2 linked regions of the Sus scrofa genome follow. The protein of the gene in region 1 purifies or fractionates together with the protein of each later gene. This does not show direct contact. Links are inferred from orthologs where the notes say so. Each region holds a gene or a part of one and is shown in the gene's direction. Other genes may lie near its edges. The genes, in order: RACGAP1 and FAM98A.

Region 1 (3,817 bases):
TAAATATTAAGTATCACCTTTTTGAAATAAGGAACTACACAGTCTGGGATAGGTAAAAAAACTGGATATGTGATTAGCTGATTTTAGAGCTAGACCTATGATATGATATCTATTGTAACCAAATCTAAATCAGACAACTAGTAGTTCAGTTACTTGACCATGAATTGGAGAGGTTAAATTTATTTAGCTAAGGTATATAAAACTGTTTCTGGATTTTGTTTTTTTCAGGGATTATCAGGAGTGAGGCAGTCATAGGTCGCTACTAAAAATGAATGCAAATGGTTAAAATGAGTGAGGTGAAACTAGACCGCAGTGAAAGACAAATAATTCTTCAGTGGCCATGTTAATGCCTTTTTTAGGGCCCAAGGAAGAGAGATGATTGAGAGACATAAAACCTAAACTAGAACTTTTAAAGTGGCCGTATTGTACAGAACATCTAATTAGATGAGAGCAATCCCTCAAGAGCAAGGATTACATCTAACACCGTCAGTATAGTGTCTAACATTCTGTAAGTTCTAAAACTAATTACCAACATAATCAGAAATAAAGGACCAGGCACTGGAGATAATCACGACAGAAGTTGATTCTTTAACCTTTTCTTGCCTCTGTGGTATTGATTCCTGATTCTATTATAATAGCTTCAATTTTGGAAAGAAAGCATGTTAACTTACTATTGCTCTCTAGCCTCAACATTTGAGACCCTCCCATCCCGCTCCCTGAATTGTGAGTTAGGTACTCTGACTCAAGAGGCCTTTAAAATTCTTTGTAAATTTATTTGCACAGGGTTTTGGGGAGGCCTAACCAAAGAAAGAAATTAATACAGTGTAATTGTCAACAGGATTGGGATTCTTCTTTGGTAAAGAGTTTTAAACTGAAGAAGAGAGAAAAGAGGGTATGTATGGTTTTGTTTAGTTTGGGGGTAGTGGTGGTTTTTTTGTTTGTTTGTTTGAACAAAGTGGCAGTAAAAGAGTTTTCCCCCCAAATGGTGCCTTTGGCATCGTATTGTATTCCTGGCATGTCGCTCTAGCTATTGTTAAACATGTTAGAAATGAAACCATGTTTCCGGGTGATATAGATGTTCCTTGAAGGAGTAACTCAGGGTAGAATCCTGTCCTGTTTCACTGCTCTGGGCTGCTTTCAGTTCATTCATTGAGAGGAAAAAGATATATTTAAGTTTGTTTTAAGTTGTCACATGAATTTTTATGCAAGACTTTTGTGTTCTAATATAAGTTTCCTATAAAATGTGTGTAATGGGATATATAGAGATCTATCTGTGTGTGCTTATTTAGGGGACTCAGTATGTTTCTTCAGGCTTCATGTTCTTAGATGGGATTACAGTCTCCTTTTTCTAGTGCTGTCATCTAAATTTTTCCAAAGCTTGCTTGCTTCTTCTGGAGGCACTGAGGGCATTTTTGTGTTGGTACAACTTAAGCTGTACATGGAAATAGACAATGAGAGAGAGCACATTGTTTGTTATTTACTGTAGCTTTGGTAACTAGGACTTGCATCCAAGTTGTCTAATGGAATAGTTTTGTCTTTCATGCTTCAGATCTTCTATTTGGCACTAAAATTCTTGGTTTTTACTCCATCTCTAGCGCTCTAGTAGCCGACAGTTCATTGATGGTCCCCCTGGACCTGTAAAGAAAACTCGTTCCATTGGCTCCACAGTAGACCAGGTAAGACTAGTGAGGCCAAGAAAATTGTGGTCTCGAATATGTCAAAGATTAGTGGCCTCAAGCACTAAAAATCCCAAGTCAGTATTGCAGTGTTACTTAGAGAGAGACGTTCAGTGAAAGTTTTTCTGTCTCGTAGAATCCGTATTATCCAATTTGAACAGAATAGTTAACAACTGTCCACTTTATGTTTGGTTCTTAGTTGCTTGTATGTGTACCCCTGTGACCTATATTTCTGTTTGAAAGTATGAGATTTCAACTTAAGAGTGTTTGGACCTGGGGACTTAAGGTCCTGGCTGAAACTCAGGAATTTTTCAGCTGTTCCCAAACACTGTTTAGTGGAGGGGAAGTTAGATTCATTCTTCCCTCATTATTACCTTTGTTTCAGGGAAATGAATCCATAGTTGCAAAAACTACAGTGACTGTTCCCAATGATGGCGGGCCCATCGAAGCTGTGTCCACTATTGAGACCGTGCCATATTGGACCAGGAGCCGGAGGAAAACAGGTCCGCTGGGTTTATGACTGAATTGTCTGTGTAAAACAACTAGTAAAACCTGGGGAGAATTGGTTTCTTAGACCCCTCATGAGGCAGAGTTGGATGTTTTGGGTAGTTTCTTACTGCTGCTTACTGAGGGCCAGAGCACTGTTGTGTCATGCTCTGCCTTGAGCTTGCTCGCCTGGCCTAGCCATTATAGTCACTTCTGGTTGTTGTTACAGATTACTGGTGATCTACCGGTTACATTAAAATTGGGGTTAGAATTCAGAAGGAACAAAGTACTTAGGACCCAAAGTTTGGAGTTGCCTGTTTTCTAGGTACTTTACAGCCTTGGAACAGTGACTCCACCTTGAGCAGCAGGCAGCCAGAGCCAAAAACTGAGACAGACGGCTCCAGCACTCCGCAAGGCAACGGAGGGATGCGCCTGCATGATTTCGTCTCCAAGACGGTAAATTGGGGATTGCTGCTACTCTTGGGCACATCTAGTTTTTTAATTGTAGAAGTGATAGTTACCAGTAACAAGTTTAAGTACGTTAGTGTTACAAACCGAGTGCGGGTTTTCCTTCCTCCTTCCAATCCCTCTCTCTCCAGGGGTAACTACTGGTTACGGGGGTTGTGTATCTTTCCACTCTGTGAGTAATATCAAATTAAAAGAAAGCAACTTTTCAGAAGCAGTTGTTTGTGCTTTTTTAGTGATAAGTATTTACATTTAATGCTTGACTACAGCATGTTTTTACTTTGTCCCCTTTGATTTCCTCATAAAAACCCAAGCAAACTGACTGAGGCTCAGAGGAGTTAACTGACTCGTTTGAGCCACAGGACAGTAAGTGGCAAAGTCAACATAGGGGTTTTCTGACTCCTTGTCAACAGATTCTTTCTGCTGCTATATAGTGATCCCTTCCAGCTGGATGCCCTTATGTAAATTACTTAGCCTCTTTTTGCCTCTATTTACTTAGCTTAAAGAAAACAAAGTATTTTATTAGGATCATTGTGAGAGTTGCACAAATAAATATGTGGAAAGGGATTAGAAGGTTGTTTGGCACATGTAGGTTGATGATTCTAATTCATACCACTCCCTGTTTCATCCTCAGGTTATTAAACCCGAATCTTGTGTTCCATGTGGAAAGCGAATAAAATTTGGCAAGCTGTCTCTGAAGTGTCGAGACTGTCGTGTGGTCTCTCACCCAGAATGTCGGGACCGCTGTCCCCTTCCCTGCATTCCTACCTTGGTAGGGACACCTGTCAAGATCGGAGAGGTATGATCTGTGGGAGCCATCCTTGTGTTATGGCTTCTTTAGCTTTTCAAAATTTAGGTCATTTTATTCTAAAGCTAGTGATGCCAACAAATAGTGAATAGAAGTTAGAAAACGATGGGACTTCTCTCATAGCTCAGTGGGTTAAGAATTCAGCATTGTCACTGCGTGGCCCTGGTTACCGCTGTGGCACAGGTTTCATCCCTGGCCTAGTGACTTCTGATGATACGGGCATGGCCAAGAAAAAAAAAGAAATTTTGTTTATTATTTTTATTTATTTATTTACTTTTTTAGAGCCGAACCCACAGCATATGGAGGTTCCCAGGCTAGGGGTCTAATTGGAGCTGTAGCCACTGGCCTATACCACAGCAACAACAACACCAAATCCTTAACC
Region 2 (4,472 bases), on another chromosome or scaffold:
AATGTAACTATTTGCATTAGATAGAGAATAATAATAAATTTAGGGGAGTTTTTACTTGTTCACTCACTAATAGTATGTGTTAGAACTTACCTTGAAAAGTGAGTCAAGAATGAAAACTTTTTTCCCAACTTGATTTTGCACAATTACTTTTTGTTTAGCACCTTCAATAACCCTATAAGAATAACTATTGTTTTTATTTTAAGGTATTTATATACAGGATATACAAGCATACATGATTTGTTTATCCAACTAGCTACATCTTCCTATTTTTTCACATCCTGCTTATAAATCCTTATTTGACTAGTCAAATAAGAATAAATATGAATTTAGAGATATCTCAGTTTCAAAAGCCAGGTCTTACCATTTTTGATAGACAAGCCAACTAAGCCTTAGTGTCCTCACCTGCAAAATGGGAGTAATACTTACACAGCCTTATGATGATTGCATAAAATAACACCGATCAAGGAAATAATACAATTCAAACACACAGTAGATACATAATAAATGTTAATTCCTTCCCTCATTCCAGATGGTGCAAAATAAGGAATTTTAAAGGTACTATGAAGAATAAGGAGCATTTATCCATTAGATACCAAAATATTTGAGAACTACAAAATAAAATTTACTGATAGCAGTGTGAAAACTCTTTAATGCCTACACAGTGCACAATTATGCCCATTTATAGTTAAATGTAATTTTCTAAATATGCCATCACTTCGAAAACAATTTTTCTCATTTTTTTCAATAAATTCTAAGTACATACCCAACCAGTAACTGCCAAGAAACCACAGCCCATCGTGATGCGAGTGTCACACCATGCCAAAAAATGCCAAATCGATAACGGTACAACAAAAAGTTTATTTACCCTTTAAACTGCGTGGGTTTAAATATATTCCATCCTATTTGATATTGACACACAGCGAAGGCCCCCCTCTTACCTCCCTCCCCCACCCCTTTAAAATAAAGATTCTTAGTGTCTGGGAAGGGCTTAAGAAGTCTGGTAGAGAACGGCAAAGGAACGGAATGAATCAACTTTCTGAATACATCCGTGTCAAGGGAAAGTTTACTCCTTAACTCCGAAATACAGCTACTGCAGCCACCAGGAACTCCGACGGCATGTTATCTGCCATTCTCGGCACTTGTCCCGTCTCTAGCCCTGTTCTAAGGAATTAGAGCGAACGAACTTCTCCCTCTCTACGGCCCACAGGTAAGGCTGGTCACCCACTCAGGCGACTGGGATCCAGACAGTCAGTTTCACAGCAAACGCCCACCCAACTCTATGGACCCCCACCCTCCCCCGCCCGAGGATCCTTCCCCGCCCGCCTCGCCCCAAGCTTCGCACATGCGCACACCCAATTAGGAAAAATTAGAGCGCCCCCGGCCCTCGCCAGGTCCCCACGCCCAGCTGCCACGCAGCCAGTCCTCCTGCCCTTCTTGGGGCCGTCGGCTTCACTATTCAGTAATACGCATGTGCGTGTAGTGTCGCCTGACCATCTTTCAGGCGGCCGGGGCGGGCCGGCAGGCGGGACCAAGTTTCTTACGCACGCTCCGGACATGCGCAGTGCATGGACTGAGGCGCCAGCTGTCGATTTGGAAGTTCCGGGGAAGCAGCGCATGCGCGAGTGTACGCGTTGCCGGCGAAGAGGGGAGCCTGACGACTCGGAAATTTGAATACCACAGTAGCATGGAGTGTGACCTCTTGGAGTCTGACATCTTGGAGTCGTTGGAAGATCTAGGGTAAGACTGCCAGGGCACGGGTCTCCCAAACCCCACACTGTCGCCCACCGGCCCGAAAACTCCTTCTCCACCTCAGTCAGCGACACCTGCCTCTCCACGCCTCACCCCGTGGCTCCTGGCTGTCGCCTCCCTATACCTCCAGGACCCCAATGCCACGTCCACTGCCTGCTCTGCTGGGTCGGGGCCCTCCGGCTGCGACGCCCCTAGGCCTGCCCTGTGCTCGGTGCAGCCAAGTTTCCCGCAGCGTTTGTCAGTCATGCGTGTCATTGTCTGGGCTCTGGTTCACGCCACCCCCCTCCCCAGCTTCTCTCCGTGCTCCCCATCCTTCTGCCCTACCCCCTCACTCTGGAGGTTGCCAAAGTTGATTCTCTGTTTTCCTACTTGTCCTCCAAACTTCCTGCTTCTGTCTTGAGCCCCTGCTCCTACCCCACCCCACTTCGCTCAGAAAATCTCCTTTGCCCAGTCATGTCTGCATGCACCCAGGCTTCCCTAAGGCACATGTCTGCGCTGCATCCGTTCTGCCAGCCAGCTCACTTATACACCTAACCTGTCACCACCTTCATGGGAACCACTCGCTGTTTCCCTTGACTCTGACACACCTTCACTGAGCCGCCATTAGCTCTTAGTCTTAGGGGCATCCTCACCCACCAAGTCCCAGCGTATTTGTTGTGCATTTTTGTCTCCCCCTGACAGTTAACCCAGCCATAATTCATCAGTATCTGGAAGCTGGAAATAAGGCTGCTTATCTCACTGGGTCACCCAGATCAGTGTACTCTCTTAAAACTTGAGAACTTAGAATTTCTTGGGCTAAATGCTGTCCAGAAACAAATTGTATAATTAAATATTTGCCCACAGTACAGCTTAAAAAAAAAAAATACGGATTTAGAAAACTATAAAAGTAACAAGTCTCTTATCAAAACCTTCCTCTAGGTTTTTCCATGCCATGGAAGCCTTTGGGGGAAAGCTTACTTTAGTATTAAAAGAACAAGGGTTCCCAAAGTCTGCCCATTTTTAGGAAAGGCAGTGGTTGTGCTTATCTTTTTCTGTCAATATGAATTACCATTGCTCTTTTCTTTGGAGCTTGCTCTGAATTTTCATGAATAAAGTCAGACTTTAGGCAGCTTATTTCTTTGATGAGAACCTAAGTAAAAGTCACAATCAGCAAAGTGGTGTCTTTTTGGTGAACCTCTTAGACTAAATTGTTAAATTTCACACATGAAGTATTCAGTAAACACTTTGGGTCTGTTGGCAATGTTGGTCTGAACACTTAAGGGTACAAAGTGAGGTGGAAGAAAAGTTCACACTGTGAGAATATGCCTTGAGAACTGAGGAGAGCCAGGAAGAAAGAAAACTGGGAAAGGAAACAAGTCCTAAGCTTCCTAGAAGTGACACTTAGTGTTGAAGGAGAAGTAGCATGAGAGGATGAAGGTAAACCCTACTTAAATGAAGTCCATCTGCAACAACTGATGATGGATGCCACTTCTTCCTATGATTGTTCTCTTACCCTTTGTTAATTGTGTTTTTCTTCTCTTGGGTACTGGAACAGTCATTGTAACTGTAATAACACTAATTAAATAAATAATTGGGATGGGTTGTAAGATAAACCGTGGGATTTTCTGAAAACTTGACTATAAATTTTAACCCGTAACGTGTTAGTTTGGTGGCATTCAGCCATCAAAAATTAGTCTTAATTGATTGATGTGTGCTTTTCAAGGATTTACTGGGAAATATTAGAAATAAATGACCATTTATTTCTCACCTGGTACACAGTAAGAATTCAGTAATTACTTGTGGGATAAATCAATAAAATTTAAGTATGTAACACAGTGAGACATTTGTAGGCCTAGTTTGTTTATTCCAGTTTCTAGCAATATGTGGTTTTGAATCTAGATGCCAGACTATATAGAATCTCACTTTTTGCGTAAGATTTCTTCTGTCCCATTAAAAATATAAACATATAATTATATTTTAAGAGGGTTGAATGTTACATTTCTCTAACATCTCTATACCTCTAAATATCAAGTTATCTTAAGTATATTGAATGTATCATGATTAGCGTTTTTATCAAGATTTCATTCATAAAAGATGAATATGTGTTTTAAAATTACTTTGAGAATGGCAGAATCTTTAATTCTAGCCATATTCTAGATTGGGGTTCATTGTTACTATTGTCTTTTGAGTGTTTGAATGTTTAATAATTTTTTAAAATGACCTTTGATTCACTTGCAAAGAATTAGGATTCATTTGCACCAGTTCACCTAAACATCAGCTCACCAGCAGTTAGTAAATTAATCTTGATATTAATTTACTAGTATATCTTACTCATCTTAATGTCATTAAATATAGAAAAAGGAAAACAAATGAATAATTGGGAAGTTTTTGCTTTTAAAGACAGTCATTAAAAACCTAATCAAATTAATTTCTGGTAAAACCTCTAGAAAAGATAACCCAAGTTTTATTTCTGAGATAGTAAACTATAGTATAATTTGTTATCACTTAGAAATCTAATTTTAGTGCTAATTCAGTTAAAGTAAGAAAGTAAACCTTTGTACAATAAGGGCTCTCAGTAAATGTACAGAGGTTGACGTAATTTAGTAGTACATATGATTCTATTCAATAGTCCCATATTTTGAAGGAATTAGCTTGTTTTTCTAATAGTTTACATTTGCAAGTTTAGAGATTGGTCATTGTAACTTATCTGTGTTAAATCATTGCTTAATTATAAAAATAAAATG

The links.
Region 2: the proteins of RACGAP1 (region 1) and FAM98A purify together in Homo sapiens (co-immunoprecipitation; 3 studies listed by BioGRID and IntAct, with this or other methods). This does not show direct contact. The link is inferred for Sus scrofa from reciprocal best matches to the Homo sapiens genes RACGAP1 and FAM98A.

What each region holds. Positions count from the first base shown.
Region 1 is NC_010447.5:15,925,041-15,928,857, forward strand, and holds part of RACGAP1 (rac GTPase-activating protein 1), read left to right. Parts: intron 1-838; coding exon 839-892; intron 893-1,595; coding exon 1,596-1,676; intron 1,677-2,061; coding exon 2,062-2,179; intron 2,180-2,487; coding exon 2,488-2,618; intron 2,619-3,261; coding exon 3,262-3,426; intron 3,427-3,817.
Region 2 is NC_010445.4:106,059,988-106,064,459, forward strand, and holds the start of FAM98A (protein FAM98A), read left to right. Parts: upstream 1-1,579; 5' UTR 1,580-1,684; coding exon 1,685-1,737; intron 1,738-4,472. UniProt on the Homo sapiens protein: Positively stimulates PRMT1-induced protein arginine methylation. Involved in skeletal homeostasis. Positively regulates lysosome peripheral distribution and ruffled border formation in osteoclasts.